4 linked regions of the Arabidopsis thaliana genome follow. The protein of the gene in region 3 interacts with the protein of the main gene of each other region in a pairwise test. Each region holds a gene or a part of one and is shown on either strand. Other genes may lie near its edges. The genes, in order: MYB14, RMR1, AT1G33760 and TIP.

Region 1 (7,463 bases), on a different chromosome or scaffold from region 3:
TGATTGGATCTTCCTCTAATTCTTTCGCTCTGGCAATAATCTACAAAATTTGAAATTTCATGAGTCAGTTGCATATGTAGCTAAAGAATCTAGCCATATACAACTTCAATAAGAAAAAGTGAAAGTTCCCCTAGAAAATATAGTCAGAGAGAGGCTGAAATAAAGAAAACATTTGTGAAATCTTGTAGCACAATACGGAGGAAATCTAGTAAAGGACATTACTAATTAGTTCTATTCTTCTAGCTAATTAGTCTGTGTTAAGGTTAATCAAAGTTGGTGACACAAACGTAGGCAGATGTAAAAGAGCAGACACATACATAAAGGATAAAACTAAGTGAACTTCTCCCTAACAAAGAGAAAATACTGACTATTCTCCATTTTGGCATTTCATAGTACAACATTTTCACTAGCCTCAACCACCAATATAATAACTTTAGCAGTCTAAACGTTCAAATCTTGCAACTTTGATGGCACTATGATCCATCCTTTTACATGCCTCTCACAAGTAAATGAGATGAAATAACAGTATTGGAGACACTAGAAATAAGATCAATCAGCTTCAACTTCTCTACTGCCCAATATGTAGCCGCCAAGAAAATAAATAACTTAAACGCGGTCCAGGAATGCCATAACAGACACTGGCTACTCATCCTATTAACCTAACGGTACCACAAAACTCAATCTTAAGAGGTTCTCACTAAAAAACTTTCCTGAACGAACTCGAGAAGCTGTCTCTAAACTTCTAAACAGAGCTTAAGTTGTATAAGACCCCTGAATCTCTGAGCTAACCACCAAGAAGCAGAGTTAGCTCACCTTGTCATCCACATCCGTGAAATTTCGAACGTAAGACACTTCATATCCTAGATGCTTAAGGTACCTGCCTAATTCCCAATCAAATTCAAAAGAACAAAATCATAAAAAAATCATAACTTTCCATAAACCCAAGAAGTTTTAAAGCTTATTTCTCCAAGTCGATACCTCAAGAGTACATCGAAAGTGACGTAGACTCGTGCGTGTCCAATGTGACTGAGATCGTAAGCAGTGACACCGCAAACGTACATTCCAACTTTACCTTCGACCTTAGGCTTAAACAGCTCCTTCTTCCGGCTCATCGTGTTGTGCAGCCACAGCTCCTTCCCACCGGAAATTGGTGCTCCACCGTCCGTTAATGATGACAGAGTCGTGAAACAGCGACGTAGTTGAGTTTCTTTTCCGGGTCTGAGGGGAAATTGGATTCTGAATTGAGACTTGGGAAGAGAAGAGAAGCGTATTGGAGTGAAGGGTCTACATGATTTGAAGAGATTAAGGACAGAAGAAGCCATTGGTGTGGAACGATAAGCTCCTTCCGAAGAAGATGATGAAATCTCGGATAGGAAAAAGCGGCGAGTGATTAGCTAAAACCTCTGAACTAATTACGGTTTGTGTAAACCGGTTTTATTTTCCGGTTCGGTTTAATCAAGACTTGTTAGAGGAGCACCATCTTGGTTGTTGACGAAATTTTTTAAAATGTCTAGGTTTTTCAAATAATATATGGGATTGTCTATTAGCCACTAATGGAATATTGAAGGAAAAAAGAATGTTTTAGTGATGATGATATTGGAATTAAAATTAAAATTTAAAGAACCATATTTCGATGTGATATTACGTATGCGTAATCGTTAACTATAATCGTTTAATCTACTCACGTTTTTGTCATTTTGATTTTCTTAAATTTTTAAGTACGACCGGAATGGTGTTATTGATGTTTTCGTAGGAACCATCCATAGGTTTTAATTAAAGGTCTACAAAATATAGTTTAAAAGTCCTTAATATTTTGTAAATAATATCTAGTTGTCTACTACAGGACCTTGGACCTTATATGTTGAAGTTTTGCAAAACATTGATCAACTAGAACAAAAAAAATTATCACAAAAAGTTTAGGGCAAAACCCTAGTGTAGATCAACCAGCTAAAACAAAGTTAAGGAGTGAGGTTGGCTCGGCGATAGTATGTTCTCTAATAAGTTCTTGGGTTTATAATTAGGACAAAAGGAACCATTGTTATATGTTCAAAACGTTTAACAATGGTTCCTTTTGTCCTGATTATAAACCAGGATGAAGTTATTAGTCTTTACACACTTAGGAGTTCATTTTAGATTGAAAACCACAATTCAAGTCGACCCATTTCTAATTTCTTTTTACTTCAGTTAACATTTATTTCTTTAGAAACCAAACTAACCGAAATGGCCCTCTTAAAAGTTTTATTTCTTTCATATTATATACATGTTTGAATCTGGGTGGTAACATGGTAAAGTGATGTTACATGTTCAAACTAACCATTGCTACATGTCTTGATGTTATCTTAAATGATGTTTATTATCAAAATGCATGTAAGATATTCATATTTACATGCAATCTCAAAAGTCTACAAACATAGACAGAGAGGAAGAAAAAGAAAAGGAATTTATTCATTTGGATTACAAAAAGACTTTCAAAGTCTTAACGACAAAAACAACACAAAATCAAAATCAAAATTAAAACTCGGGTATGTCGGAAAATTCCTCAATTCTACGATTACTAGTGAAAACATCAAACCAAAACTCCATGTCATCATTATACAACTTAGAATTACTATAGCTACATTTTTTACTATTTCTATCGATCAATCCTTCCCAATCCTCTATCTTCTTCTCATTCTTATTCGAATTATCTACCGATATGACGTCCGACCAAAAACTATCATCTATCAAGGCAGAAATATCCTCGTACGACATAATATCGTCCTTGTTATCATTTGAAATATCAAATGTTGTAATACTATTAGAAAATTGTTGTAAAGAGGCTGTGTCGACTATCACAGATCCTTTGTCTTCATTTGTGGTCTCGTTAATTCCGTTAACGTCTTTGGTGTCTCCGCCATTGTTTAGATTTTTGCTGAGTCTTTTCTTCAAATGAGTGTGCCAAACATTTTTTATTTCATTGTCGGTTCGTCCCGGCAATTTTGCAGCAATCGCAGACCATCTAAATTAATTAAGAAACAAACAAAAAACAAAACACTTTTTAAAAAAGCGCCCCACGTATAATAGTATTGTATGGATTTCATCAATTTCTTACTTTATATTGCTTTTTAGTTGCTCAAAAACAGAAGAAAACAACAAAAGAAAAGCTTATACATGCCATATGTTTTGCATTGATCAAAGTGCATATCCTTTTTTAATAGTAATATAGAAGATCTTGTTTCTGTTTTTTTTTTAAAGTATATTTGAAAACAAATTAATGAAGTCTTTGGTTTGGTTTGAGACAGAGGAAATCACGGACAGGAATCTCCTTACCACCCCCATGGTGTTAAAATATTTTGCAAATTGTTACATAAATAATCATTTATTAACTTAGACTGGGTAATACTCACTTCTCAGAGAGTCAGTGTAATGCAAAGTGGAAAAAGGAAAAAGGAAGTTGACATTACAAAAAAAAAAAGAAACGTCGACCCTAAAACTGTTTGATTTCTCAATCACTCTTTAGGGGAAAAAAGAAGACAAACCTGTTGCCTAAGCTTTCATGCAGATTGATAATAGTTTGTTCTTCTTGAGGAGTGAAATTGCCACGTTTAATGTCTGGTCTAAGATAATTGATCCAACGAAGTCTGCAACTTTTCCCACATCTAAGTAAACCTAAACAAATTGCACAAAAACACCAACCAAAATTGCTTCATTTTCAAGAATCATTAATAGATAATCAATATACAAAGTAAAATGTAAAAAGGAAACTCACCTGCGTGTTTTGGGAGAGCTCGCCAATTAGAATGACCATAAAGATGAATATAATTGATCAAGATTTGATCTTCTTCAGGAGTCCATGGTCCTCTCTTCACCCCCATTTTCTCACAACATGGTGCTCTTCCCATTCTTTTTTCCGTTGCCCCCTCAAGAAAAAAAACACTCAGAAAAAGAAAAACAAAATGGTCTTCAATTGAGTAAAATGATTAGAAGGACAAGTGTTGAATGGGTATGAAGTTTATGAGAGCTAAAGAAGCCAAATGCTTGAAGGAAGTATGCGATGTCGACGTTTAGTGTGTTATTATATATACACACATATTATTATTATATAATCACAATGCAACCGTGGGACAACTCCAAGTTGAAATTTTCTCATACTAATTTTGATCTACACAGTCCAAAGTTTTTAACCTTTTTCCTTTGAACTTTTTTTTTAGATTCATTAAAAAAAAAACTTTTTTCTAATGTATTTTAATCTGTTTTGATGAGGTCGACGAATACCACTGGAGCCTCGATGTCCTGTAACTCCTGTTGTGTAAAGATTGCCTATAATTCAGGTGCCATTCAGTAGTAAAATATTTAACGGTTAATCAGTTCGACTCAGGCCAAAAGGATTCTCTTTATATATCACCAGATAGGGTCCAAAACTTTCTATTTCGGGATATTTGCAATATTTTTGAGATGCAACACGCAACCAGGGAAACGAGTGTGTGATGAGAAGCAAAACGCAAACATCACTCTACTTATGCAATTATTGCCCTGAATTATCATGTTCTAGGGACGCTAGTTTCACTAAGCATATGAGTCACATGATTCATATGAAAGATCGACATATGGTCGACCTGTGTACCCACTTCAAAAGTTAATGACCCGATATCTAAATCTATTATTGAAAACCACTGTTATACAAGCTATTATTGAAAACCACTGGTATACAAGCCATGATCCGTTTACTTGATTGGTTATGACAAATCTTAATTACTATTAAATATATCTATCATATATGTTTCATATTCTTTTTGGAACAACTTTATTGGATAAGTTGGTTTTGATATGTAGTCTTTTTTTTTTTTTTTTTTTTTTGGACGACTGGTTTTGATATGTAGTCTAAATGTTTAATATGGTGTGTTTGTATTTCACAAGCTTGCTCCATTCTAGTTTACCCGGACTCCCGCTCGGAGCCTCGGATTACGGAGTTATATAAAAAAGATATTAAGCAAAAAATGCTCCAATATAAATAATAAGAAATTAGGAAATAAAATAATATAAAACATTATGAGAGGAAAGAAAGGTTCAAATTATATATGCATAAAAATGTCAAAGAAAGAGGCTCATAGTGCTCAATTCCGATCAAATCATGGGCCAAAAATAATCAAACTTTTAATCTCAATCAAGCTTGTTGGGTGACCTATAAGTCAATAAGAAACATTAAAAGTTTCATATTTTTCTATGCGCATATTAAACACTTACACTATTTTCTTTCTTAATGTATATAATACCGTTACGATTAATTAAAAAATAGGTATGTAGAGCCAAAACAATTGTGGTGTCAAGAGGGAAAATCATAGACATCGAAGTAGGTACGGTACGTACGTAAAGGGGTTCCTCTTTTCTAATATGATTCAGAGAATCAGAGGTCATATTGTTAACAAAAAATTTTTATGAAATGATTTATTAGCTAGAATATGATTTGATGACTCCACTTTTTGGTCATTGTTTTCCCGCTTTCTTTTAATGTTAAATATGACTTGATACTACATCTGAATTGTTTTGGTCATATGAATCTTTAATTTCGAAAGAGTATTTATAATTTTACTTTGTAAATACAAATTTAAATTTATTAAATTACCGGTGAGTTAGTAATTAAAATAAAATAGACAACCAGATTATTTTGAAACACGTCAATTATTCATAGTGTCATACCGTAAAAAAAAAACAGAAATGTCTTTCTTACGGTATATGTCATTACGTAAGATAATTACAACCATGAGATCGTAAAATGTATGAAATTGTCGTCAATTGATATTTAGTGATATGGTTCTTGGCTTCTTTCAATTGCACACCTTCACTCACCATTACAACATTTACTTTTGAGTTAAACTATTCGTTTGTCTCTGTCAAAAGCAACTTTTGTATACTGTTTCAAATTAAACGTATTTAGACCAAGATTACAACGTTTTAAAAAGAATAGACTAAAACAAAACGAAGATCGTCGATATCTAATTCCATCATTACCAAGATCTTGCCCTTTTTCACAATTTTTTTTTTCTCTTTCCGTTTTCTTTTTGGGGTTTCATTTTCTAATACAACGAGGGTTATCTTCTCTTACAACACTACTCCAATATAATTGTGGAGTTCCCATGTTTTTAATGCAAGTGTTTTGTTTGATAATTGATAAATTCAAATGGATCGTGACCTAACGAAATCTAGATATTTGTGGGTCCATTCAACTACTAACTTTGTCGCTTCTTTTTGTAATTTTCCAAGGGTCGGCTGATTTGCATTATTGATTATACATGCATGTCAAAAGTAAAGAAGCCTTAAACATTTCACTAGTTAATATTTAAAAAGGTGTTACTTATCTTCTTCAATCAGATCCAACTAGCTATCCCTAAAATAAAATGTCTCAACTAAATTTTGAAATCTGTATAAGAATAACAAAGTAAACATTTTCATCACTTAACAAATTGCTAAATAATCATGAAAGGTTGAAATGTTAATTTTAATACATTAATGACATTTTTATTTTCTGTAGTTTTTTTTATTTATTAACAACATGCATAATGATAATTTGAAATTAAGTTTGGTCTAAGTCTAACCAAACCTGAAACACAACTTAACCAACAAAATCTTTTACCTCCTCTCATGCTCTATCAGAATCTTACTAGTTATGTGTCCAGTAGGCAGTAGCATTGGCTAACCCTCGTATAAGGTAGTTCTGATAATTGCATTTATCAAATATTATATGTAACAACATGCAACAAAAGTGATATATTTGGGACATTTTCACTGATCAAAATATCCCAAAATGAAGACTAAGGAAGGGTCCAGGTCTAAGGAAAAATAGAGCCCGTACACAAGATTTGACCAAGAGAACTATTTTAACTTTAAATAAATATATATATATATATATATCCATAAAAAGCATTAATCAGATTCCATTTTGATTGATATATATGATAAAATATGTAAACTTACAATGGCAAAACAAAAGTACAAACGAGGACAAGAACCGTACCTTCAAACTTTTGTTTCACCTAACAATCTCACTCTAATCTAATCCATCTAAGTCTTCAAAGTACTAGATTGTGGATTCATGATCTGGATAAAGACTTCTTACGCCTACAAATTCGTGTTTATACTTGAAACAATAAAAAATTACAATAGCAAAATTACTCGAAACTCGGGAGCTACCAAGCAAATCTTGTCCCCGTGCCATCGAGAAATCTATCAGTATACCATCCTTTAGCTTGCACTTGAGATAAAAATGGATTGAAGACATCGTTCATTTTGTCATACGCGTCTTGCAATATAATGTCATCAGGGTCATTATATATCTTTGTCATTGACTTGACATATGCTGCAACTAACCACCCTCGCAATGCATCTTCACCGGTTGCATCGTGCTCTAAGACCATATCGGTCCATGACTTTCCATGACTCAATAGAAACTTCTCTTCTACAAACACTTGTTTTAGTCTTTGTACCTC
Region 2 (8,222 bases), on a different chromosome or scaffold from region 3:
TGAGTATAGATTGAAGGATCAAGGCCATTCGCCTCTAGAAAGCTAAGGAAACTCTCCGGTAACTGTAGCTTGGACGTTTCTTCCATGAGAAACCCGAGAGAGAGAGAGAGAGAAGTGTTCGGTCGGAAAATTAATTAAGTCGGAGAATCGCCGGGCGAGAACAGAGAAGATAAGGGCTTAGGCTGAAGCCCAAAGCCTTTTTGTATGTATACTCAAAAAGCCCAAACGTTTTGACCGATGAAACAAACAAAGGCTTGTTACTTAGTTTTTACACTTTTACTTGTTCATCTTTTTTTTTTTGGTTTTCACTTATAGAGAAACACAGCTTTTATTGAATTTGGTACACGAAAGTTTTGATTACAAGAAACTGGAATTTTAAATTGAAAATGATTACTACATCACACAGGCAGTTATATTATTTGATTAAGAAAAGAAGAGAATCTTAAGATTATTAATTAGCAGATGGCTCCTCCTCCTCCGTGTTGATGGGAAAGCTGTGATCCACCCAAGCCAAGTAGCCACCTCCCACGTTTCTCACTTTCTTGTAACCCTATTTTTTTATGTATATATGAATTGATTCTTTGAGATTAAACACACAAGTAGGAGTAAATTATGTATGTAAACTAGGGACTATTATACACTTACTGCAGCAACAAGTTCAGTTGTGGCTTTTAAGGATCTGGCTCCACTCTGACAACCCTGTTTGTATCAATATCATTTTCCAGATTTTATCATCGTTTTCACCGGCAGATTTTAATTCTTGTGGGTGTGATGAGGAAGAAAAGAGTTACCACAAGGATATCATCAGCTGGGTTTAGAAGAGAAGATACTTGCTCCAAGAACTCTTGATTCTTCACTCTACCTAAGAGTAGAGATCACAAGGCTTTAACTCATGTACTGGTTGATATCTCTAATTAAAGGTGATTGATATTTGATTTACCTTGAGGTGTGTTGAGCATGTAGGGAATGTTGACGATCTTAGCTGCCTCACAATGGCCTCTCCTAAACTCGTCCTGAGTCCTGCCATGTGCAAGGATTTTTCATTAACAACCGCAGCAGCTGGTACATGCATGGTGATATGATAGAATAGATCAGAAGCTCACCTAACGTCAAGATATTGATGCCCAGACTGGAGGAGAGTCTTGGCTTGGCTCACATCTACACTAACAACTTCTTCTGCCTTTGTGCTGGAGGAGATTGATTGAGACATCTTCTTCTCTACCTCTTCTTGTCAAACAAAAAGATGAAGAAGCTTCAGGAAGAGAGCAGAGAGTAATAAATAGGACCAAACACAATAATATTGTTTTAATATTGTTCTATCTTCCACTTATACACATGCATGGCCAATATAAAAATAATGGTATATGATTCAACAATTAGAAATTTGTTTCCAATTCCATACGCAAGTAAATGAAATCTACAATAAAGAATATAAGATAATAGTCTTCTTAGACAGCTATGGTAAGATAGGCCCCAAAGCCTGCATAGAAAACGTGTTCACTGATTAGAGATGAGAAGGAAATGTTGGCTGAATTTAGTAATCAAAAGAAGTTGAGTATGTAATAGAAAGTTTTGGTGATGGAATTGCGCAACTAACAAACCCATGAACGAGTCATCGTATTGGATGAGTCGTTAGGTAGAGATGAGGATGACGTGTTCTTTTCTTATTATTACTACAGACAAGACAAAATCAAAGCCACGTTCAATGGATTCCATTCCCCCATGTAAGGGAATCAGATTCAATATTCATATTATACAAACTTTAGGCAAAGAAATTATCAACAAGATAACATTAGAGATTTGCCTGGATCGGAGAGAGAAAATCTGATTAGACCAACATTTGTTTTCTATCAATTTGTTTGCATATCTGTACTATCACACACATTTTTTCAATCTATAACACACACACACACACAATGATCAAATGTACACATGACTCAGAGCGTATGTAAATGTACACATGCAAAGAAAAAGAGGCAAAGCAACTCATATCTTTTTGATCTGGGAATCCAGCAAAGCACGACCAGTATGGCAGATCCGGTCCCTTTACCTAAACTTATCCCACCATGATTAACCATTCAATATAAGATGCAAACCTGGACCTGATCCAGGTAACCGAGCACTGATATGAGTGTTCAGCTGCTAAGCCGATAATAACTCTAACGGCTTTGACTGGATTGGGCAAAGGCAAATCTACTCGTACTTGTATCTGTTCTCGGACTCTCTCGTTTATGTACCTGCAACAAAACAACACAAACAGTGTATTGAACCCAACGCAAAAACAACAAAATAACTACTGAAAGGATTTATACATTTCAGTCTAACAGGATCACCTCAGAAGACATAGTCTCGGTTCTTATGTCATGCTTGCACACAGGGCAAGATGTACCCCATTTTGTCAACCAAGAGTCGATGCAATTCAAGTGAAAAGCTGCATAAGAGCTTCAAATCAACCAACTGCTATGAATTACCCCCACTTACATAAACTAAAAAAGGTCAAATCTTTAATTTATTCTTCTGATGTACATATTCGACCCATCATATCATTCGAAGCAATGAGTAATACCAAAAAGTTCGCATTCGGTGCTTACCTATCAAACTGGAATTGACAGAAACGGAATATATTGTACCTTCAACCCTAAAACAGAGGAATTTATGCTAGAAAGAAATCTATTTTATAAAGTTAGAATCTAAGAGAAACCTATCAAAGTCTTCCTAGAATAGTAAGCACATGTTTCAATCCTGTGAAGGGAAGATCTGTGTCTCATAAATATACATTTCCAAGACCTCAATGAACACATTAAGGGTGGCAAGTTGCCAGTTTATTTCCACAGAAGAATAGGAGTAAGTACCATGTTGGCAGGGGAGAAGTCTGAGGCTTTCTCCAAATCTGTAATCCTCGAGACATATAGCACATGTTTCCCCGGCCTTGTGGTGAGCAGAATCAGTGAAGGTGAAGCAGGGGAGTGTGTGGACGAGCTTTGCATCTAACCTGATGGTCCTGGTGTGCCTCCCTCGCCATTGGGTCCAGTGTCTGGGTGCAAAGAAGGCAATCAACAGGAAAGTGACTATAAGAAGGAGAGAGAAGAAGGAGATGGCCAACACAGTCCAAGCGCTCCCTCTGTCTGGCGGATTAAGGCAGCATTCACCATCTCGGCCTCTCGCGTACTTTCTCAAAATCTCACCGGCGACATTTGAAACGAAGACTGCATCAACTGTAATGTCCTGAGGGTTCACCTTCACTGTGCAAAACAGATGTTGGTCAATCTCCAAACTTATGGGGGCGTTGACTAAATTAAATAACTCCAATGAAATTCAGCTCAACCCTAGCTCATCAGGAGAAGAAAAGATGGAATTTTAAACTTGGGTGGGAGGCAAAAGGCTTACTGACGATGAGATCTTCGTTGTCAATGTTGTCATAGACAATCACAGCTTGAAAACCTGAGTTCTGGGCATTGAGCAGCTTATCCTCAAAAGAACATTCGCCTCTGATTATCAAAGCGAACTTAGTAGTTCTGTGTTGCGTCCAGTTGGATGCGGCGGCGTGGAGAAGCGGTGAGCAACCGTCGAGAGGATCTGCGACGTATAGAGCTCCACAGATTCCGTTTTTGGTCACGGAGCCGTCTGAGAATCAAAATCAACTTCTTTTTAACCAGATTGTTCGAGAAATTGTTTCGGATAAGGAAAAAGGAAGAGGGGGAGAAATTGACCAAATTTGGCTGGGAGATCGGCAAAAGAGGCGGAGATGGAATTGAGGACAACAGTGGCGAGTGAGACTCGTAACAGAGAGGAGAGAAAAGGAGCTGCAACTAGTAGACAGCTTGAGACGACGAGTCTCATCTCTCTCTCTTTTCGCTTTCTCGGTCGATCGATGGCTTTTCAGTTTCAGGCTGTCGCCGAAATGCATTGGTTTCTTCACCAGAGAGAACCTTCTACTCGTCTCAGAGGCTTTAAAGATTAGTTCGTTAATTTATATTTTATATACGGAATAAAAACGACGACGTACAAACAAAGCCTCCTTTGCAAGCAAACAACCCCCAAGTCAAATGAAGAGAACAAAACAGTTGCAATGATGTAAATGACTTGTTGTTGAGATTTTTATACTAAAATGTTACTAGCTCAAAGATTTGCTTCTATTCTCTGTAAAGACGTGGTTTAATTATCTCTATATTGATTGATTTGTGTATTATCAAAGAAAGGGAGATTTTTTCCCAAAACTATTTGTTAAATAAAATTAAAGAAAAGGTAAATGACTATTGTCAAAACTCAAAACAGATCAACTTCAATTTTAATGTTGACATCAAAGTAGAAGAAAAAAAGATTTAATAAAGTACTATTTTAGGGTCAAGATTTTAATTAAATTTGTAGGAAAATAAGATTATTGTAGAACCTAATTAATTATTACATATGGTGAAATGACAATCTAGTCACAGTAAAACAATAGAGAGACTCTAACAAAGACCGACGGATCTGAGCAAAAACAAACGATAAGGATTTGGTCTTTTGTTATGACCCTTGTTTTGCTCTCTCTCCATTTTCTTGTTATAAGTTTCCTCCACACCCTGTAAGAAAGAAAAACATCTGAAAACTCTGCCATCGGAAAATGGAGAAACCGGGTATGTCTTTATTGAAAGGATCACTTTGTGTTATTGTTTTTCTTCTTCTGTTGTCGTTGGTTGAGAGCGTCAAAGGCGGGGGATACGTGAAGTATGGAACCGAAGCTAAAGTGGTTCCGGGGAAACTAAATGTTCATCTTGTTCCGCATTCGCATGACGATGTCGGCTGGTTGAAAACTGTTGATCAGTACTACGTAGGATCTAACAACAGAATCCAGGTATGTTATCTACAGATGAATGATGAATCATATATATGTATGTATGTAGAGACGAGTCTAACGTACTATATATCCCAAATGAATTGTGAGTTTCAGAACGCTTGCGTGAGGAACGTCCTAGACTCGGTGGTGGATTCTCTACTTCGTGATCCCAATAGAAAGTTTGTGTTTGCGGAAATGGTAAAACATTAATAATGGTTTTGTTCATAAAACCATAATATATGTTTTCTTCTCTTATGTGAACATCAATGTACATGAAAAAGGCCTTCTTTACGCGTTGGTGGGAAGAACAAAGCCCCGAGAGACAAGAGCAAGTGAGGAGACTAGTGAAATCCGGGCAACTAGAGTTTGTGTAAGTAGGTCACGACCTTAATTTTATCATTTTGGCTACCTAGCGTTGATACAATTCACACAATCAATGTGCAGAAATGGAGGATGGGCTATGAATGATGAAGCAACGTGCCATTACATAGATATGATAGACCAAACCACAAAGGGGCATCGGTTTATAAAGCAACAGTTCAACACAACTCCACGTGCTGCTTGGCAAATCGATCCCTTTGGTCATTCCTCTGTTCAAGCTTACCTCCTTGGAGCAGAGGTCCCTTCTAATCTATTTATTTCTTTATTTCCTTATGAGTGTGTTTTAATTTGGTGGGGGTGCAGTTAGGGTTGGATTCTGTGCATTTCGCGAGAATCGATTACCAAGACAGAGAAAAGCGAAAGGCCGAGAAATCACTTGAAGTCATCTGGAGAGGATCAAAAACACTGGATTCTTCTTCTCAGATATTCACCAATATCTTCTTTGTTCATTACGGCCCTCCCACTGGCTTTCACTATGAAGTCACCGACGATTACGTACCCCTCCAGGTTCGCTTCTTCTTTCTCCCGTTTGGTTTTTGGTTTAGGGGAATTCGGTTCACTCGTCATTTTGCAGGACAACCCTCGTTTCGATGGCTATAACATTAAGGAGGCGGTTAATGATTTCGTCAATGCTTCTCTTGTTTATGTAAGTCTTGAGTAGTATTTTTTTTTTTTTCAAGTGTGTGTGTAATCTTGGATTAATTCTGAAAGTAGTCAATGTGGACATAGGCTAATGTGAGTCGAGGGAACCATGTGATGTGGACAATGGGCGATGATTTTCAGTACCAGTTCGCCGAGTCTTGGTTCAGACAGATGGACAGACTTATCCATTATGTTAACAAGGTTTTCATATCTCTTGCTTGCTGTGATTGCTCAATATCAATCTCGCTGTCTTTGGAGACTAGATTCTCATCACCAATAATTCCATTCAACAGGATGGCCGTGTGAACGCCTTGTACTCCACACCATCTCTCTATGTTGATGCCAAGAATGTTGCCAATGTTACTTGGCCTCTCAAGACTCATGACTTTTTCCCGTGAGTGCCTTTAGTACTGTCACCAAATAAATTTACATATTCCTTTTGTTCAACAACTTGATTTTCTCAATAGTCAATAATTTCCCCCTACTCTCTGCAGATATGCGGATCGGGCATACGCTTACTGGACTGGCTACTTCACCAGCCGTCCTGCTCTTAAACGATATGTTCGGGCTCTTAGCGGATACTACATGGTATCAAACTGCATCTTACGGAGTCCGATTTCCCATTTTCTTAGTGAAATTCAAAATGAATTTACATGGCCTTGCATTTGTCTGTTTTTTTTCCAAAACAGGCTGCAAGGCAACTTGAATTTCTGGTGGGCAAGAACTCTGGAGGTCCAAACACTTACAGTCTTGGGGATGCTTTAGGGATAGCGCAGCACCATGATGCTGTCACTGGAACTGCCAAGCAGCATGTAACAAATGATTACATGAAACGCCTTGCTCTTGGTGCTTCTGAGGTAAGATACTATATATGAAAACTCTTTTCTTTTTTGTCTTTTTTCTTATATCAGTAATCATCTAATTATTCCGTAGGCAGAAGCTGTGGTGAATTCTGCGCTGGCATGCCTAATGAACAAAGCACCAAAAGGTGGCTGCACAAAGCCTGCAATAGCATTCAGCCAGGTTAAATCTCCAAGAAACTCATTTTGGATTTCATTTTTTTTACAGAAATGTGATTGAAGAATCCCTTTCATGGTGATGACTAGTGTGGGAGTTATTTCTTTCCTCTATTTAGAGTAAACGATTATTGTGTGTCTCTATATAGTAATCACCTGGTTTATATATTCTTTCTTGGAATCAAATCAGCAGTGCTCGTTGATGAATATCAGCTATTGCCCATCGACAGAAGAAACCCTTCCAGGCCAGAAGAGCTTGGTAATTCCATCACATCTCTCATCAATCATTATGATATAGCTCAGATTCTCCAACTATCTCAGTGTTTGATCTTCAGATTCTGGTGGCGTATAACTCCCTTGGATGGAACCGTACAGAAATCATCAGGATTCCGGTTATATTTCATGCCTCTGTTTACTTGCTCCTTTGAGATCAAATTCTTTAATGTATTACTAAAGAGTTAGGGTATGTAACAGGTCAATGATGCAGGTCTAAGTGTGGAAGATTCATCTGGAAACACCCTTGATGCTCAATACATCCCCATGGATAATGTCACGAGCAACCTCAGAAGTTTCTACACAAAAGCTTATTTAGGAATATCTTCCCTGCAGCGTCCAAAGTATTGGCTCGTGTTTAAAGCAAAGGTGCCACCACTTGGTTGGAACACATTCTTCATATCTAAAGCATCCGCACAAGGTATGCAGACACAGGCTCATGCTATCCATAGAAAGTTAAACAGTTGCCTTTCCCTCATAATTCATTTTTTTTTTATCATTCATGATATAGGAAGCAACAATCACAAACACTCTTCAGTGATGCTTAGTCCGATGAACAATACGACTGAAATTGGTCCAGGAAATCTAAAGATGGTGTTTTCTTCAGACTCTGGTCGTCTCGAACGGATGTACAACTCCAGAACAGGAGTAATGTTTCGTTTACTCCTTCACACTGAATCTTTTTGGTTCATTCATTTGGTTAGACAAAATATTCAGTCACAATTGCTTTTAATAAATATCTTTCAGGCTGACATAAAGGTGGATCAGAACTATTTCTGGTATGCTTCAAATGTTGGGGACGCAAAAGATCCCCAGGTTTCTGGTGCATATATATTTCGACCTAATGGTTCCTTGGCGTATCCTGTTTCGTCGTCCAAAGTGAGTCTATGAATACTCTAAGAGCATTGAGATGCTGAGGTTCTATCATCAAGATATTAGATCATAATTTTTTTTAGCTTTTCTACACAGCATCGTTATGTAGGAAGCAGATAATTGTCTTTGTAGTTTAGAAATACAGATAAACCCATAAAATCTATATGATAAAAGTAATCCATGTAAATATTTGTTTGGAAGATATGTACCGTGACTAGTGC
Region 3 (6,698 bases):
ATAATAGCTGCCCGGGAATATATTCATTTCTATCAAAAAGAAGGTCATGATGAGACATTGCTCAAGTTTGCGAAGCTCAACTTCAACTTTTGCCAGCTACATTACGTTAGAGAGCTAAAAACTCTCACCAAGTATGTTGGCCTACTTTTATTCATATTTCCCGGTGAATTTCTTATATGTACATCCTTTAGTACTTTACCAAAACTCATGAGATTCCGACTAAAAACAGAGAGATAACAAGTAGATAGATTTATATATCTTATACATTAATTTAGATCTCATCTTACTTTAGGCTTGACCTGTAGGATTGCCCATCTCGAATTAAATCCCTCTTTTAGATTTTTTTTTTTTTATCAGGCAACATACTCATGTCGGGTCAATTGGAATAACATCTGTTATCATATAATTTTTAGTGAGCTTTCAATTCAAAACCTGTAGGTAATATGTTGATTGGTATGTGTCTTTTATATTATATTTTAATATAATCTTAGATGTAAGATTCTTATAATATTTTCTATTTAATGTTTTTGTGGTTGAAGATGGTGGAAAGACATTGATCTTCCATATAAGCTACCTTACATCAGAGACAGGCTTCTAGAGACCTTTATCGGTGTCATGGCGGTGTATCTCGAGCCACACTATTCACTTGGGAGAATTATAGCCACTAAAGTTTCCCAAGTGATAGTAGTTATGGATGACACCTGTGATGCATATGGAACTTTCTCTGAAGTTAGAAGTCTTATTGATTCTTTGGAAAGGTAGTTTACTAAGTATGAATCATGTGGTCTTATAATGACGTCATTTTTTAACGAGCACATGCATGGGAAAATCCTTAGGTGGGATCCTGGTGCCATTGACAAACTACCGAGCTGTTTAAGAATCGTCATCCAAAGTATAGTTGAAACAATGGAAGATATTGAAAGAGAAATGAAGCCGCGAGGAAGATCCTCGAGTGTGCAAGACACCGTAGAAGAGGTACACCAACAATTTTAGGGTTTAGTTTTAATCAATGTCCATATAAATTAATGTTTGTGTTTAATATTGAGAATTTTGCAGATTAAGATCATGGGGAGAGCGTACGCTGAAATATCAAAATGGGCACGAGCAGGTCACGTTCCAACCTTTGATGACTATATTGAGCTTGGGCTTGACTCGTCAGGGATTAGATGCTTTGCAATGTACAGCTTTATATCGATGGAAGATTGTGAGGAGAATCAAACGAACGCGTGGTTCAAATCCAAACCCAAAATGTTACGAGCTTTAAGTGTTATATTTCGTCTTACAAACGACATAGCCGGCTTCGAGGAGGAGATGAGGAGAGGAGAAGTGGTTAATGGGGTGAACTGTTACGTTAAGCAACATAATGTTACCAAGGAATTGGCGGTTCGAGAAATTAAGAAGATGATTAGAGATAATTACAAGATAATGATGGAAGAGTTCTTGACGATAAAAAGTGTGTCACGTCCGATTCTGGTCCGGTGCTTCAACATTGTACGATTGGTCAATCTGTATTACGAGGAGGGTGATAATTTCACCAATCCCAATGGCAAGCTCAAAGATCTCATCACATCTTTGTTCTTCCATCCTCTTCCGCTTTGAAGACTTGGCTCCTTGCCGAAAAATTCATCTACATTTCTCTTTCCATTATTATTGATGATTGTTAATTTGCTCTATGCACATATTTTTCCATTAAATTTTAATTCCTGGGGTTTCAATTAGTTTTTACTATTTTAATTTATTTTGCATAGAAGTTTTTTTTATAACTTTCACTACCCACAACGACAAGGAAAGTTGACCAAAAGAATGAAATAATATCATAATTCATGTTTATATACGTTATACTATTCAATTCTTAATTCATGTTTATATACGTTAAACTATTCAATTCTTAATTATGTTTCTTTGCAAATAATATTAAATTACACACATGAGTTCTTGAACCAAGGAACGTATAAGTTCAAAAAATAGACTGGAAAGCAAAACTTTGTTATACTTGTTGAGTTCTTATGTAGGATCCAAATCTTGTAGATAAGCAACAATATATAATGGGCGGTGAGATTAAGACTGAAAGTATTTTTTTGACCACCGGATGGACCGTACGGATTTCCACAATTCGATACGGTGTGGTTGTTAGTGCCTTAGTGGCGGTGGTGACCATTATGCAGCCATTTAACTATTTAGGGTTGGAATTTGGCTCATGAGGTTTTACTACACATCAAGAAATTATTTGGAGACAGAGCATCGATCTTCTGCTGGTCGGGTTTTAGAATTTCATAAAATCAAATTTTGGTTAATTTAGATGGGTTTCTTTCCCCAATTCTTCGTTATGAACAATTCATTATTTTGGTCAACTTAATTGTCTATGACTCTATGGGCAGTTACATAATGTTACTATCATATTTGCTGTCAAGACTCTTGAGATATGGCATATATGGACTTTTGTACGAGAACCTAAAGTTCTAACCAACACATGATATAAAGGACTAATTGCTTTTCTTTTCATTTGGTCTTACAACAACAAAACACAATATACTACTTTGACTTAAAATAATTGATCTTTTATATGAAACACTAATTTATCTCAGTATGAACTATGAAATCTATTTCCTAGTTGAAAAGTTTAAATATTTTGAACTTTTTGATCAAGTTAAATATCTATAATCTAACTAAGGCCCAGAATATACCAAATATGAAATATATTTATCAAGGCCATGTCAATTTTCTTGGAAGGCATGTACAAAGTTTTTACTGAAAACATATTTGATGTGTAAAAAAATATTTCTAAAAAAATTTAGAACCCAAATCATATAAATATCAAACTTGTCTTCAATCAAAAAAATAATATTCAATCAGCGTTTTCTTTCAAATACACACAACACACTATTTGTACACGCTTAAAGACAGCTTTGCTAATGTACAATATCCATGTAAGTAATAGAGACCCATGCATGCATGACAGCATATTTCCACTTCACAAGTAACTACGTAGGAAGCTCACTTCACCTGAAACCAAACAAGCCATCCACAAATTCTATTCCCTCATTTATTGTCTTCTTTATTTCTCTATATATACAATTTCACTTAACCACTGACTCTATAACTCAAAACTTCTAAACTAATTCGCACAGTTCTATATACACTCACAAACACACACACACACAATATAGTGCTACTAAAATAACCTTGTATTAATTATGGAAAACACTTACGTTGGCCAACGAGATTACCGCTTCAACGTTAACCAGTTGTCCTACAGAGGCATTCGTCGGAGGAAATGGGGCAAATGGGTATCGGAGATCCGAGAACCCGGTAAGAAAACAAGGATTTGGCTTGGAAGCTACGAGACGGCCGAGATGGCTGCAGCGGCCTACGATGCTGCGGCTCTTCACCTCCGAGGACGTGGGACCAATCTCAACTTTCCGGAACTCGTCGACAGTTTTCCTCGGCCGGAAAGCTCTAGTTCGGAGCACATTCAAGCGGCTGCACAAGATGCAGCACTTATGTTTAAACCAGGTAGGTTGAGTGAACCAGCTCTCGAGTCTGGTCAAGGACTTTCTCGAGTAGGATTGTCTCCGGATCAGATTCAAGCGATTAATGAGTCTCCATTAGACTCGCCGAGGATGGGGTGGATGCAGGATTTGGAAGTTGCTGACTACGAAGAATTATACGGACAATTTTTTGGTCAGCACGATAGGGATGAGTTTTTTGAAATGCAGCAATTTCAGTCCATATGGAATTCTAATAATTGATATACGTTCGCTTAATTGCTTAACCATTTGATTTTTTTTTTAATAATGTCATATCATCAACCAAGGTTTTTCGATTATATTCAGTAAAGTATAATAAATTTTCGACCCTTACTGTTTTTCTTGGGTTCAATTTGTAATCTCTTAACAATGATGATGTCATAAATACCAATATGATTAATTCAAATTTTCAATATATATGTAATGTTTTGGTTCCTTGTCAGTCAGATAGTATCATATGGTTTATACGAGAAATAAATATAAACCAAGGAAAAAACTCAATCCAAGAAAAAAAAATGTTATCTTATAAAAACTTAGAAAAAAGGGTGGTTACCTTGTGCTTCGTCTTCGGTTTTCGTTGTGGTATTCGTTAAATTGGAATAAGACTAACTCCGAAAAATAGGTAAGATTATAGACCAAAAACCTGAAACTCCTATGGTTTATTAAAAACAAAATTATTTGATGAAAGTCCATTATGTAGACACATATAACCCATAATATATACACACGAGCTGACGTGCACGTACCAATTCGTACTATGGCCGCCTCAAAAGTACAGGTTTATTCCATATTATAGTGAGCATGAGTCCGTTGAAAAGCTTTGATTACCTAAAGATATACTATAATCAGTATCAATAACAACTGTTGCAGTCAATATTATATTAGTATGAAATGTTTTAATTGTCCCATACGTTCAGTTTTCTGTTAGGCCTAATTGCGTGAAATTATAAATTAAAGTTTTAATTAGATCATAATGTAAAAGCATGAATTTGACTCTTTAGACACGTTTAAAAAAGCAAATTTCGAGACTCCAGTAAGTGATGATGACTAGAAAATTCTTTTATTAAATATAAATTAGAATAATCGCAATAGCGTTGGTATGGTACACTCCGTGTGGGGACAGAAGAGACGATTCCAATATGCCGTCAGAATCTCCTGTGGACCTACTATACATTGACATTTCAGCTTCAGCAAACACTTTCTTATCCTTAATATTATCTTCAAAAGTTTTGATATGATTTTTTGTTAACCGGCTAAATAAATACTTTAAAGAACTTCCTTATATTAATTGATACGATGATGATCAATCTTTTTTCATTTTTTTGTGGGTACAATGATGATTAATTCTTAGTATCAAAATGTGATGGATATGGTGATATAAGTGTGATTCTATTCTATAATCCACTATATGTAGGTTATTAATGAAACATTGTTTGAAGAATTACTGTACAAGTTCTCGTAGATCATTTGAGATCGTGGTCAACTTCATTTTTTACAATGCCTTACAACTTTCAGACAGGGCCGGCCCTGAAAATTAATGGGCCATAGCAATTTGATAATTAGTCTTTGTTTCGCTGTCAGAGGTTTATGACCATCGAAAACAATGATAGGTTGAAATGTGTAAGTGTAACGTCATGTTTGTTTGTAGTGAATTTAACATGAATTAAAGCTTGAGAGACTCATTTCTGAATATATACGGAGAGGTAGATTTTTGAATATATACAAAATCTGAACTAAAAATTACGGATAAAATACGATTAAGGAAAAGATGAATACGGAGAGGTGGAAGTTGATTTCTTTCTTTAATTCAATAGTTTTTTTTGTCTCTCATTATGGCAGTTCTTATGAGATTTTGAATCCTACGATACCATAATCACGACACTCAAATTTATGAACTGGTATCAGTATCTCTGTCATACCCTGGAGACTTAGTTTATATACAACGAGGATGTTGATAAATAACAATTGATGCAATGCAATGAGCCTATTGAAATTTTGCTGGCAAATTAAAAAATAATTTGATAATTTACCACATGTTGTAATGCAGAAAATAGGTCTCTCCATGCCATGTGTAAGCTTTTAAGTAAAAAATTTGACAATAAAAAAAAATACAATAAATTTGTGAATTGGAGAAGGGCGTTGGTCTCTGATTGGTTGATGAGATATTTTAGATATTTATCTCACCGTTATGAGTTCAAACTTAATTATTTTATACCAAAATTCATCATATCTACATATATATTTTTGCAGCTATTTTGTGAAATAAATCCTATAATTGGAACTTATTTACAATACGTACCACTGGATTTTAATGTTTGTTTTTGATAATTAGAAAAAAAATCTTCAAATTAAATATTTGACATTTAACAATCTTCCCTAAATCTCTCCACATTAACTACACGATTAGTTACTAAAATAAAACTTCCAAAATATTTAATATCATTTAATTACTACAAAATAAATGGTTTTTTTACGGGACGGATTGGTGGGACGGGTTTGACAGGACGTTACTTAATAACAATTGTAAACTATAAAATAAAAATATTTTATAGATAGATACAATTTGCAAACTTTATGTATACTAACTTTAGAAAATAAATTGTTTCCGCGGTGTACCGCGGGTTAAAATCTAGTTGTTTTCTTTATAAATAGAAACTTGAATCATTTGATTATGACACCAAAACCGATTTATTGCTGGTATCCTCTTTTTTTTCCTTTTTAATTAAGTGGGAATGCTTTGTTGGATGAGTTATTTGATATTATCTTGAAGTTCTATCATAACTAATTATGTATGGATAAATGAGTTTTGGAAGATAAAAGTAAGAGTTGTAATAATATATTGATATAACTTACCAAAGAAATAAATAATATATTAATACAATTGTTTTGTTAACATATAACATATAAATTAAATTTTAAAAATTTATGAATTTTCCAATCAAATTATAACATATCATTTTAGTTTATATTATTACTGTATTTATATAATTGTATTATATTTCATTTTAAAAAAATATATCCCAACATTTTAAGGAGAAGATATAATTTGGTGGACCAATCATATGTAATTTAATGGAAGAGATTTTAATTTTTCGAAATGGAAACAAATTTGAGTTTTCTATAAACTTTTTGAGTAATCTGGATCCCGGTTTAGAAATGATCTGGTAAAAT
Region 4 (8,341 bases), on a different chromosome or scaffold from region 3:
AACAGAAAAAGAGGTAAAAAGGTCGGGTCCATGTTTACATGTGCCCAAACACCTGGAGCTGACTCAGCTTACACAATATGCTGAATGTATACATTTTTGTGCGTATCTATGAGTCCATCTTTTATCCAAATATGATTTAACAAAAAAGTACATTTATTTCCATATTTCTTGGTGAGTTTGGCAATAATTTTTAATAAGTCTTAAAGAGTTACAAAATTTTAAATTTAGTATATCCACTGTATTGCTTATAAGAATGAAAGTATTCGTAAATAACAAAAATCTCATTTTTACTATGTAATTGTTTGGAGTGGATTAGGTAATGAAATTGAAGAATTTTTCAGGCAAATGATTTTTTTTTTGTTACAGAGGTAAATGATATTTTTAGTGTTTGTTATAAAAATATTAAAACGGTACAATAGAAATGTATTTTTTTCATAATAACCTGCAACGAAATTTTTTTTAATGTAAAATGTTGAATATCCGTTTCGAACGAATAAAAGTAACATATAAAACAATTTTTCATACACAACAGCTGAAAAATGAATCACTTGTATTTTACCTTGTGTCCATCTCTAAATTAGTTTATACTTTCTATATTATGCTACAAACTAAAATTGGTCTCCATCGTTTGGTAAAACTGATGATATTATCACTTTACTTGTAGTAAAAAATTCCTCTAAAACTGCGAATTTGGACTTAACTTTTTGGTATACCTGCTATAAAATGAACTTTAAGTAATAATAATTGACATGTAATTTGTATCCGATCGTTTTCACAGTTTGAGTCTCAATGTATAATTTACTTTTGACGCGCACTATCTTTATGGGTTTCAACTATTGTTTTATCCAAATGGACCTGAAAAAATCTCAATGTTGAGACTTGAGTGGTTTGTATAACTCAAAACTCAGCAGATGTTATCGCAGATCAAAAATCAAGACAATAAATAACCTCTGGTTTTTTATAGGTTAATTTTACGTACTAATGGTTTTTGCATTTGTTAAATAAAATTGATTTATGGAAGATTTTTCAGATCGTTCTGGAATTAACATGAAGTTCCTTTTATACCAACCGGCAATATGCGACTTTAATCTGATTCAAAAGTATATCCAAAAAGTCAAAAATACAAAAAGCCATATTGACTAAACCATATAAAAAAATAACTCTATGCCACAACCGAATTAGTTTCTCTGCTAAAATAAGTTTATAGACTCTCTTTTCTTGTCATCCGTTTTTAATAAAACTTAAAAGAAATTTATAGACTTTTGTTTTATGTAATGTGCCATGTTAATGATCAAGCATCGAGTCATTCATATCCACTATTGTATATTTACGCTTTAAAAGTGTGCATCACCTTCTTTGGTCATTATAAATTTATAATCGAAATATTAAATTGATTAAAGAACATGATACGTGAATTCTAAAAATAGTTGAGATAAAGTTAGTTGGTGTTCGGTGCATCGCATGTGGAGACATGAGTCCAACTGCAATGGCGTTAAGATTCGAATGCACATATTTTATGCATTTACGATGTTTTTATATATTGGAAAGAATTGTATTTTCTTTTCTTACTCACACATAATTTTGAGTTTTATTCAAAGTATGATACAACATTGATATATACTACTTATATCAGCTAACACATTTAAAAAGTCTAATAATTGTTTTGGTACTTACGTATTTTGGGTTTTATTCCAAAGCAACACGACAGTAATATTGATACAAACTGCTTCCTATGTCTTATTGTAAGTGTTGTTTAATTTTTTTTACAGATATCAAGAAAACAACTAAATTTTGAAATTTTATTCTTGGTCCATACAATTAAGTAGTAAGGATACAATTATTCTTGTAGAAGCCGGATTTGCCAGAAGAGGACCGGCCATCTTTGCTAACAAAGCCAAAAAGATGTCGGGCAAAAGCCCAAAACTTGGGACGGCAGTTTACCAGAATAATCCGGTCGGCAGAATTCAACAGTTCCTCTCTCTAAAAGATATGAAGGAGAGAAAAGAGAGGTGATCATATTATTTGAACTATTCAAATATGCATTCTTTTGTCCAAAAATTTTGTAATATATTACTGGGCATACTTAATGCCATAAAATACCCAAATGACATGTTTAACAGTCCATACCCTCAATCAAACCGTCCTATCATACTAAACATGTTTAATGATATACGAAATAAACACACCTCTAATAAATATCTCTACCCGGTCGGTTCGTACTAACATGTTTGACACCGTTTTCATTACGGTGCTACCATTCGAACTCGTAGTTTGTTTCTGATTGTACAAGGCTACTAAAAATGTCAAAAACGCAATCTCAAGACACATGTGGTCAGGAATAAAAAAATTTCCAAACATTACCATCTGAATATTATGAGTCGTCGTACATGTTAACTACAAGTCTACTACACTCCTAAACCGACCATGGTTAAGCTTAAGCCGACAAAAACAACAACAATAACAACAGATGCAGAACCAGGCCAAAACCCCTGTTATACACACAAATCCGCGCTCTCTCCACCCGTAAAAACCACTTTCTTTATTCTTACTATATGAATTGATCGGAACAAACATCACATTCAGCGGATTTATGCGACTAGACTGCAGACCGACATCACACACACAACCGCTACCACACCGACTCTGAAAAGCCCTCTGTATGAACATCCCATGGCTGCAATTTTCTTGAATATGAAACTAGTCCTGCTCTTTGATCTTGTGAAATTTCCACATCCTTTCGTCATAGTTTCCGTTGTTGTGTCCTTAACCTATATACATTTTATCGCATAAATATAAGGATCATAAATTGTAATACATGAGAAGGTATGAAAACAAACTTCTTCTCACCTCTTTCTTGATAAATTGAAGTTGTGTACTGTCAGTTTCTGACTTGTGGCTGTTAAGGTTAACCTGAAGACGCAGCCTTCTTGAGGCATCGCCCTGCATTACAAACTGCTCAGCACAACCCGGGGCTTGTGCTCGTCGAGCTCTAATCTTAATTCCTCTCTTAGATTCATCATTGATCTTGTTGCATGAGCTAAGATTCTGTGGCTCATATGGGATCTGTTCTGGCTCATAGGGAATGTCAAGAAAAGAATCCAAGAACTTGGACATATATTCATCCGCATCATTTGTACCGTACTGAGTCTGAATGTAATCCTCATTGTGGTTTTTGAACAATTCACTAGACTCAGATTGTAAGCCATTGAAAGAGGAACCGAGCTCAGATTGCACCTGAGAGTGCAACGGAGAGAACAGCTTCGGGGAATCAAACTCCATAAACGAGAGCCAATCGATATCGTCAAGCTGTTGAGTAAAATGAAGTTTGTAAGTTTACAAAGCGGTTGTACCGCCTCCTGTAATGAAAAGAATGTATTTTGTTCATCCTTACCCCGGTGGTTGTAACCTCAGGGACAGAGTATCCACTACGACATTCGCTGGGGATTACAAGAGAAGACTCTGCGACGTCACAAGGATTAGTCTCTTCTGTTTTAGGGAAAACAGGAGATACCTCAGACATTTCAACCTCGTCCACAACAGTTGGAGACGATACCGCTGGTTCAACTTCACATGACTTTGACTCTTCTGGTTCAGCAGCTCCGTTCACAATATCTTGCTTCTTAAACAACTTACAAACAACAAACGGATTCTGCAACCAAAAACAATCAAACAAACACAATCAGAAACACAAAAGACCTACACACACAAGTTAATGCCATCATTTGCCAAGTTGGTTTTTACCTGGCCAGACTTTGTTCCATCAAGATCCTTCTCAGTAGCACGATACTCATGCATAATCCAACAAGTTCGTGTCCCTTTAGGAGCACGACCTGTATAAAACACTAGAGTCCTCTTAACACCTATAATCTTAGTCTTTCCTGATTTGATCTTACGGTCTTTTCCCGTCGCCTTCCAGTATCCAGCCACAGTAGCTCTATTCATTCGACTTCCACTCGGATATTTCCGGTCCAAAGGACAAAAGAAGAGCCACTCTGAGTCTGTTGTCTTCACCACAGAAAAATCTACACCACAAATACTAAAGTATAAATCTTTACTCAAATTCACTAAGTCCACTACCTAAGCTAAGAAGTTATTGATCATATTGTTCCAAATTCAAACATGCATAAACCGGAATTGAAGCCTGGGAATTGCTAAACCGAGACTAAAGAGCTAAAGATGAATCAACGAATTGATTTGATGAAGAAAGGAATTACCAGGCAAATCCCAAGGCTCCCATTTGCAGATATCGATCTCACGAATTACTCTAACGTCGTTATCGTGACCGTTGATCTTGAGCCGGAGATAGTACCGGACTAACTCTTCGTCCGTTGGACTAAATCTGAACCCAACCGGTAGTGAAGCGAGCGATAGTACTTCCATGTCTTCTTTCATAGTTGCGTGAGACTTTGAGAATTCGAGAGGAAAAGAAAAAATCACAAATTCGACTTCAAGGTGATATCTAAAATGAATTTGGATCAAAGATGCGATTCAAAGGTATATAGAAGAAAACTAAGAAAAAACCAGATTCCAGAATTTGATGAAGTACGAAAAGAAAAAACCCTAAAATTTGACACGATTTGGTAAAGTGGAGAAGAAGGAGATGTGACACGATTTGGTCAGACAAGAGAGATATCAAAGACAAAGAGATGAAAAAGTGGCGCGTGGATAGGCGTACCACTGTTTCCCAGAAAGTCATAAAACACAAAACCACGTTCGTTACGCGTAAAAGGCAAAACAGAATGTAAATACCTATTTTACCCCTGAAGTATTGCAGTAAAATAGTTACGGAAATAGGGGTTATATGAGTCAAAAGGTGAGGATGTCTGAACGAGAGATGTCACCTAGCGAATCATATATTGACACGTTGATGCTATAAAGGAAGCTTCGTGATAGTTGTACGGAAGTTAAAGAAGAATTAAATAAACTTAATTGGTATCATATTGATTTACCAATATGAAACAGTTTACACAACTGGCCAGCCCATCTTACTAATAGTGTTTGTTGTTAAAGCCCAATAGATGAGAACCCAATTCAACCATTTTTTTTTCTTGGTCGTGTGAAGTCTGAATCAATTTATTTAAACCAAATAATGTAAATCAAATAGGTTTAAACTTTAAAACGTTTGATATCGAAGTCCGTTGGTACTCAAAACTAAACCTCAAAAACAGAGAAGAAAGTAGCGAGCGAAAAGGAAGATCTTATTTATCTAAACTTAACGTTCGGCCGTTTACAAGATATGTTTACAGCCAAGCCTCGTTTTAAGAGATACAACAAGAATAAAACTACACAAGTCAATTGTCGAGCTTATGTCTTTGAATCCGAATGAGAATGTTCTTGTACTATTCTCGTCCGACTTCAGGTGTCCTTTTCTGGCATTCCTCTGTCAATATTTATAGTACTTCAATGAAAGTACACAGTACCATTTTCTGAGCGATATGAAACTTCTATGGCGGCTGATCCTTTCCAGAAAATGGGCCTCATCTCGCAATGGGCTGCGGCTTTCTCAGGGGGGCTGGTCTTCATCATTCTTAACTGAGGTTTTCAATGACTCTTTGTTTGGGCCTCCGAATGTTAAATGGGGCGAAGCCCATATCCAACAAAGTTTATCTAAGTCATTGCTTTTTGTTTTGTTTTTGGGTTTAGACCTCTGCGTTTCTAGTTTGAGGATAGTCTCTTATAGTGTTTGATTAGTTGGAATGTAATCTTTTACAACCATAATTGTTTTTGTGAAGACCAAATTGTTGTGAATTAGTTTTAGAAAAAAAAAAAATCTTGTGACCGTAAATCTTATATTTCTACAACCTAAAACCATATGTTGTTATAAGTTCTATAAGTTATATTTTTAATTTAATCTCTCTTTTATTTTAATTTTATTTCCTCATGATCATTTTTTATGTGTTGCTTATATAATGTACACTAGGCACTAGATGGATATATACTAATAGTATAAATACCATGTATAGTTTTGTTTGTTAATGTATACTTATGTATAAATTTTGAACAACATTTGAACAAAAAATTTATATGTATATATTCTTTTCAACTAATATGTAGTTATTATCCGACTAACATATAAACTATTTTACATGTTTATATAGATTCCATTTAACCTATATGTGCATCACAAAATTTGTGTTGTTGTTTATTATATAGTTTGGTTAACTATAATATTTTATAAAATATTTACTAATCATATTTTAAGATACGACTAATAAATTTACTTCTAAGACTTTATATCCCTAATATCTACACGTATAACAATAAAATACACGGTTGCATTTTACACGCTGACGGTCAAAATTTTACAGCGAATAATTTACGGTGACATGCCAACCAATCACTTAGTTACTAAAGACGTTTACTTTCTATCTCAAAGTTCAGTTTCTGGAAATATTTTATTTTCCGTTGTTTAAAATCATAAATGTATGTAGCTTTTAAAATAGTTTTTGGCTTTCGAATTTTAGTTTGTAATTTTTTTTTTTGGTGTAAATGTTAGTTGTTTGAAAAATTTGAATGGTAATTAGATGTGGATTTTAGTTTAGTTTTAATTTATTTGAAAAACAAAGAAAAAATATTAAAACTTGAATATGTGGAAATCTCTCTTTTTATTTTTATTTTATTTAGAAAATTATGTATTTCCTCATGATCCTACTTAGTGGCTATGTTCTATCTGATCAAAATTTAAGAAGTCACCAAAACTACAAGTTGTTAAATTACTAAATATCTCATGATGATCCGACCCTACCCAATTGCTCTTTTCATTTTATTATTTTGTTACACTACCAATATTAAACATATCGAATCAAGATTGTGCGAAACACAAATTGTCCCACGGTATATCGTGGGTTAAATCCTATATCAACGTTAGTTAAAAAAATATAGAAAACCACCCACTATATATATAGTGTTTTAAAAAAAGATTAAAAATAAAAGCTCCAAAAATAAATACATATTTAGTTTTACTATTATGGATTCTTAACATTTGTCCTAACTACAAAAGGGTTAAAGAGATCTCAAACAATTAATGTGGTTGACAGAAAAAATAAGAAAAATGTTACCTCCGAATACCATATATTATAAACGGGGAAAGAAAAAGCTATAGAAGTAGAATTTATGAACATTTTTGATCCAAGTCCATATTTGTAATTTGTTCTAAATTCTTCGTAACTTTTAAAGTAAAGGGTTGAAAATAAACATGGAATATATATGATCCATATATACCATATGCATATGCAAAATTACCAAAAAAATATATATATCTTTGACATCAGTAAAATTGACAATTTTACGGTTAAATGACAACAAATTTCTTCACTTGGTTACAGAGTGACACTTTGACACGGTTCAACTACCATTGAACCTGAATCAATACAACTTACAAGATTTGTATGTTCCATTGAACAAAACTCTCTTCAATATATCTGAACCCCTAACCATTATCAAATTAAAAAAAAACTACTAAACATTCTGAGCTAAGCTTCTAATCTCGGGCTCCTCCGCGTCTGCGGCTCCAACGCTACATTTCATCGAGTCAAACGTTAAATCAAGGAAGTACAACGAACAAACAAGAACGCAACAAGTTATGAACATTGGGATGGGACCAAAGATCCATAGGAATAAAGGCGAGGAGAAGTAGAACGCTCGTAGTCCTAACGACCAGAAGTAACTCCCACGGTTAACCGTTGCAGCCACATAATCTTGGTTTATCATAAGACTACCATTACCACGACCACCTGAAGAAACAGCCATGAGCTGTTTAAAGGGGACATTGATAAGGATGCTTGCATGGCTGTAATAACGAATTGATTGGACATTGAGGAGAAACGCGACTAGGAAACACACGAGGATTGCGAAGAACTTGAGCGAGAAGGCTCGGTCGCTTTTGTCTCCAAACACAAACCAGACTGATCGCTCTCCTGTAGCGCTAGTCATTAGTACCGCGATTAGTGAACATAACATTATTGCGGTTGATGCTAATAGAGTTGATGCCATTATGTTGTTCCTTAGCGTTTGAACCGCTAAAACGCCGTTTTTGGATGAGTCCTGTTTACAATAGTTGTTAACGGAACATAAGTTAGTACAAGAAATCTCAAATCCAACAAAAAGTGAAAAAAATTGGTGGAGGAAATAATGTAATTATAAACATTTTTTTCAAAAAAAAGTTTCCCAAAAATGCAAAGCATCTTTTGAGTGTTGTTAGCTTTCACACTTGCGGATTCATTTAGTAAGGAAATGTTCAAAATCTTGCATTAACGTAAAGAACTTTAACATAATTATGTTCACATAGAAAAGAAAAAATCTGAGCAAAAGAAGAAAGAAAAACAACTTGATACTGTTTCAA

The links.
Region 1: the proteins of AT1G33760 (region 3) and MYB14 interact in a two-hybrid assay, tested with the Arabidopsis thaliana proteins (one large-scale study listed by BioGRID).
Region 2: the proteins of AT1G33760 (region 3) and RMR1 interact in a two-hybrid assay, tested with the Arabidopsis thaliana proteins (one large-scale study listed by BioGRID).
Region 4: the proteins of AT1G33760 (region 3) and TIP interact in a two-hybrid assay, tested with the Arabidopsis thaliana proteins (one large-scale study listed by BioGRID).

What each region holds. Positions count from the first base shown.
Region 1 is NC_003071.7:13,284,295-13,291,757, forward strand, and holds MYB14 (myb domain protein 14), read right to left. Parts: upstream 4,087-7,463; 5' UTR 3,882-4,086; coding exon 3,749-3,881; intron 3,649-3,748; coding exon 3,519-3,648; intron 2,999-3,518; coding exon 2,512-2,998; 3' UTR 2,387-2,511; downstream 1-2,386. Other genes in the region: SYCO ARATH (Cysteinyl-tRNA synthetase, class Ia family protein), read right to left, coding at 1-40, 814-877, 979-1,322; RUS2 (root UVB sensitive protein (Protein of unknown function, DUF647)), read right to left, coding at 7,164-7,463.
Region 2 is NC_003076.8:26,440,816-26,449,037, reverse strand, and holds RMR1 (receptor homology region transmembrane domain ring H2 motif protein 1), read right to left. Parts: upstream 3,953-8,222; 5' UTR 3,841-3,952; coding exon 3,711-3,840; intron 3,625-3,710; coding exon 3,388-3,624; intron 3,243-3,387; coding exon 2,853-3,242; intron 2,432-2,852; coding exon 2,334-2,431; coding exon of another isoform or gene 2,316-2,333; exon of another isoform or gene 2,238-2,315; coding exon 2,160-2,237; 3' UTR 1,605-2,159; downstream 1-1,604. Other genes in the region: AT5G66180 (S-adenosyl-L-methionine-dependent methyltransferases superfamily protein), read right to left, coding at 1-86; STR18 (sulfurtransferase 18), read right to left, coding at 452-550, 640-699, 792-862, 941-1,020, 1,104-1,210; AT5G66150 (Glycosyl hydrolase family 38 protein), read left to right, coding at 4,604-4,834, 4,931-5,014, 5,098-5,186, 5,261-5,435, 5,501-5,704, 5,772-5,843, 5,927-6,040, 6,133-6,233 and 9 more. UniProt on the Arabidopsis thaliana protein: Involved in the trafficking of vacuolar proteins. Functions probably as a sorting receptor for protein trafficking to the protein storage vacuole (PSV) by binding the C-terminal vacuolar sorting determinant (VSD) of vacuolar-sorted proteins.
Region 3 is NC_003070.9:12,234,750-12,241,447, forward strand, and holds AT1G33760 (Integrase-type DNA-binding superfamily protein), read left to right. Parts: upstream 1-2,797; 5' UTR 2,798-3,194; coding exon 3,195-3,749; 3' UTR 3,750-3,961; downstream 3,962-6,698. Other genes in the region: AT1G33750 (Terpenoid cyclases/Protein prenyltransferases superfamily protein), read left to right, coding at 1-131, 540-758, 837-975, 1,057-1,599.
Region 4 is NC_003076.8:8,414,332-8,422,672, forward strand, and holds TIP (TCV-interacting protein), read right to left. Parts: upstream 4,746-8,341; 5' UTR 4,393-4,745; coding exon 4,215-4,392; intron 4,023-4,214; coding exon 3,742-4,022; intron 3,650-3,741; coding exon 3,392-3,649; intron 3,307-3,391; coding exon 2,848-3,306; intron 2,769-2,847; coding exon 2,589-2,768; 3' UTR 2,044-2,588; downstream 1-2,043. Other genes in the region: AT5G24600 (TRP-like ion channel protein (Protein of unknown function, DUF599)), read right to left, coding at 7,459-8,043.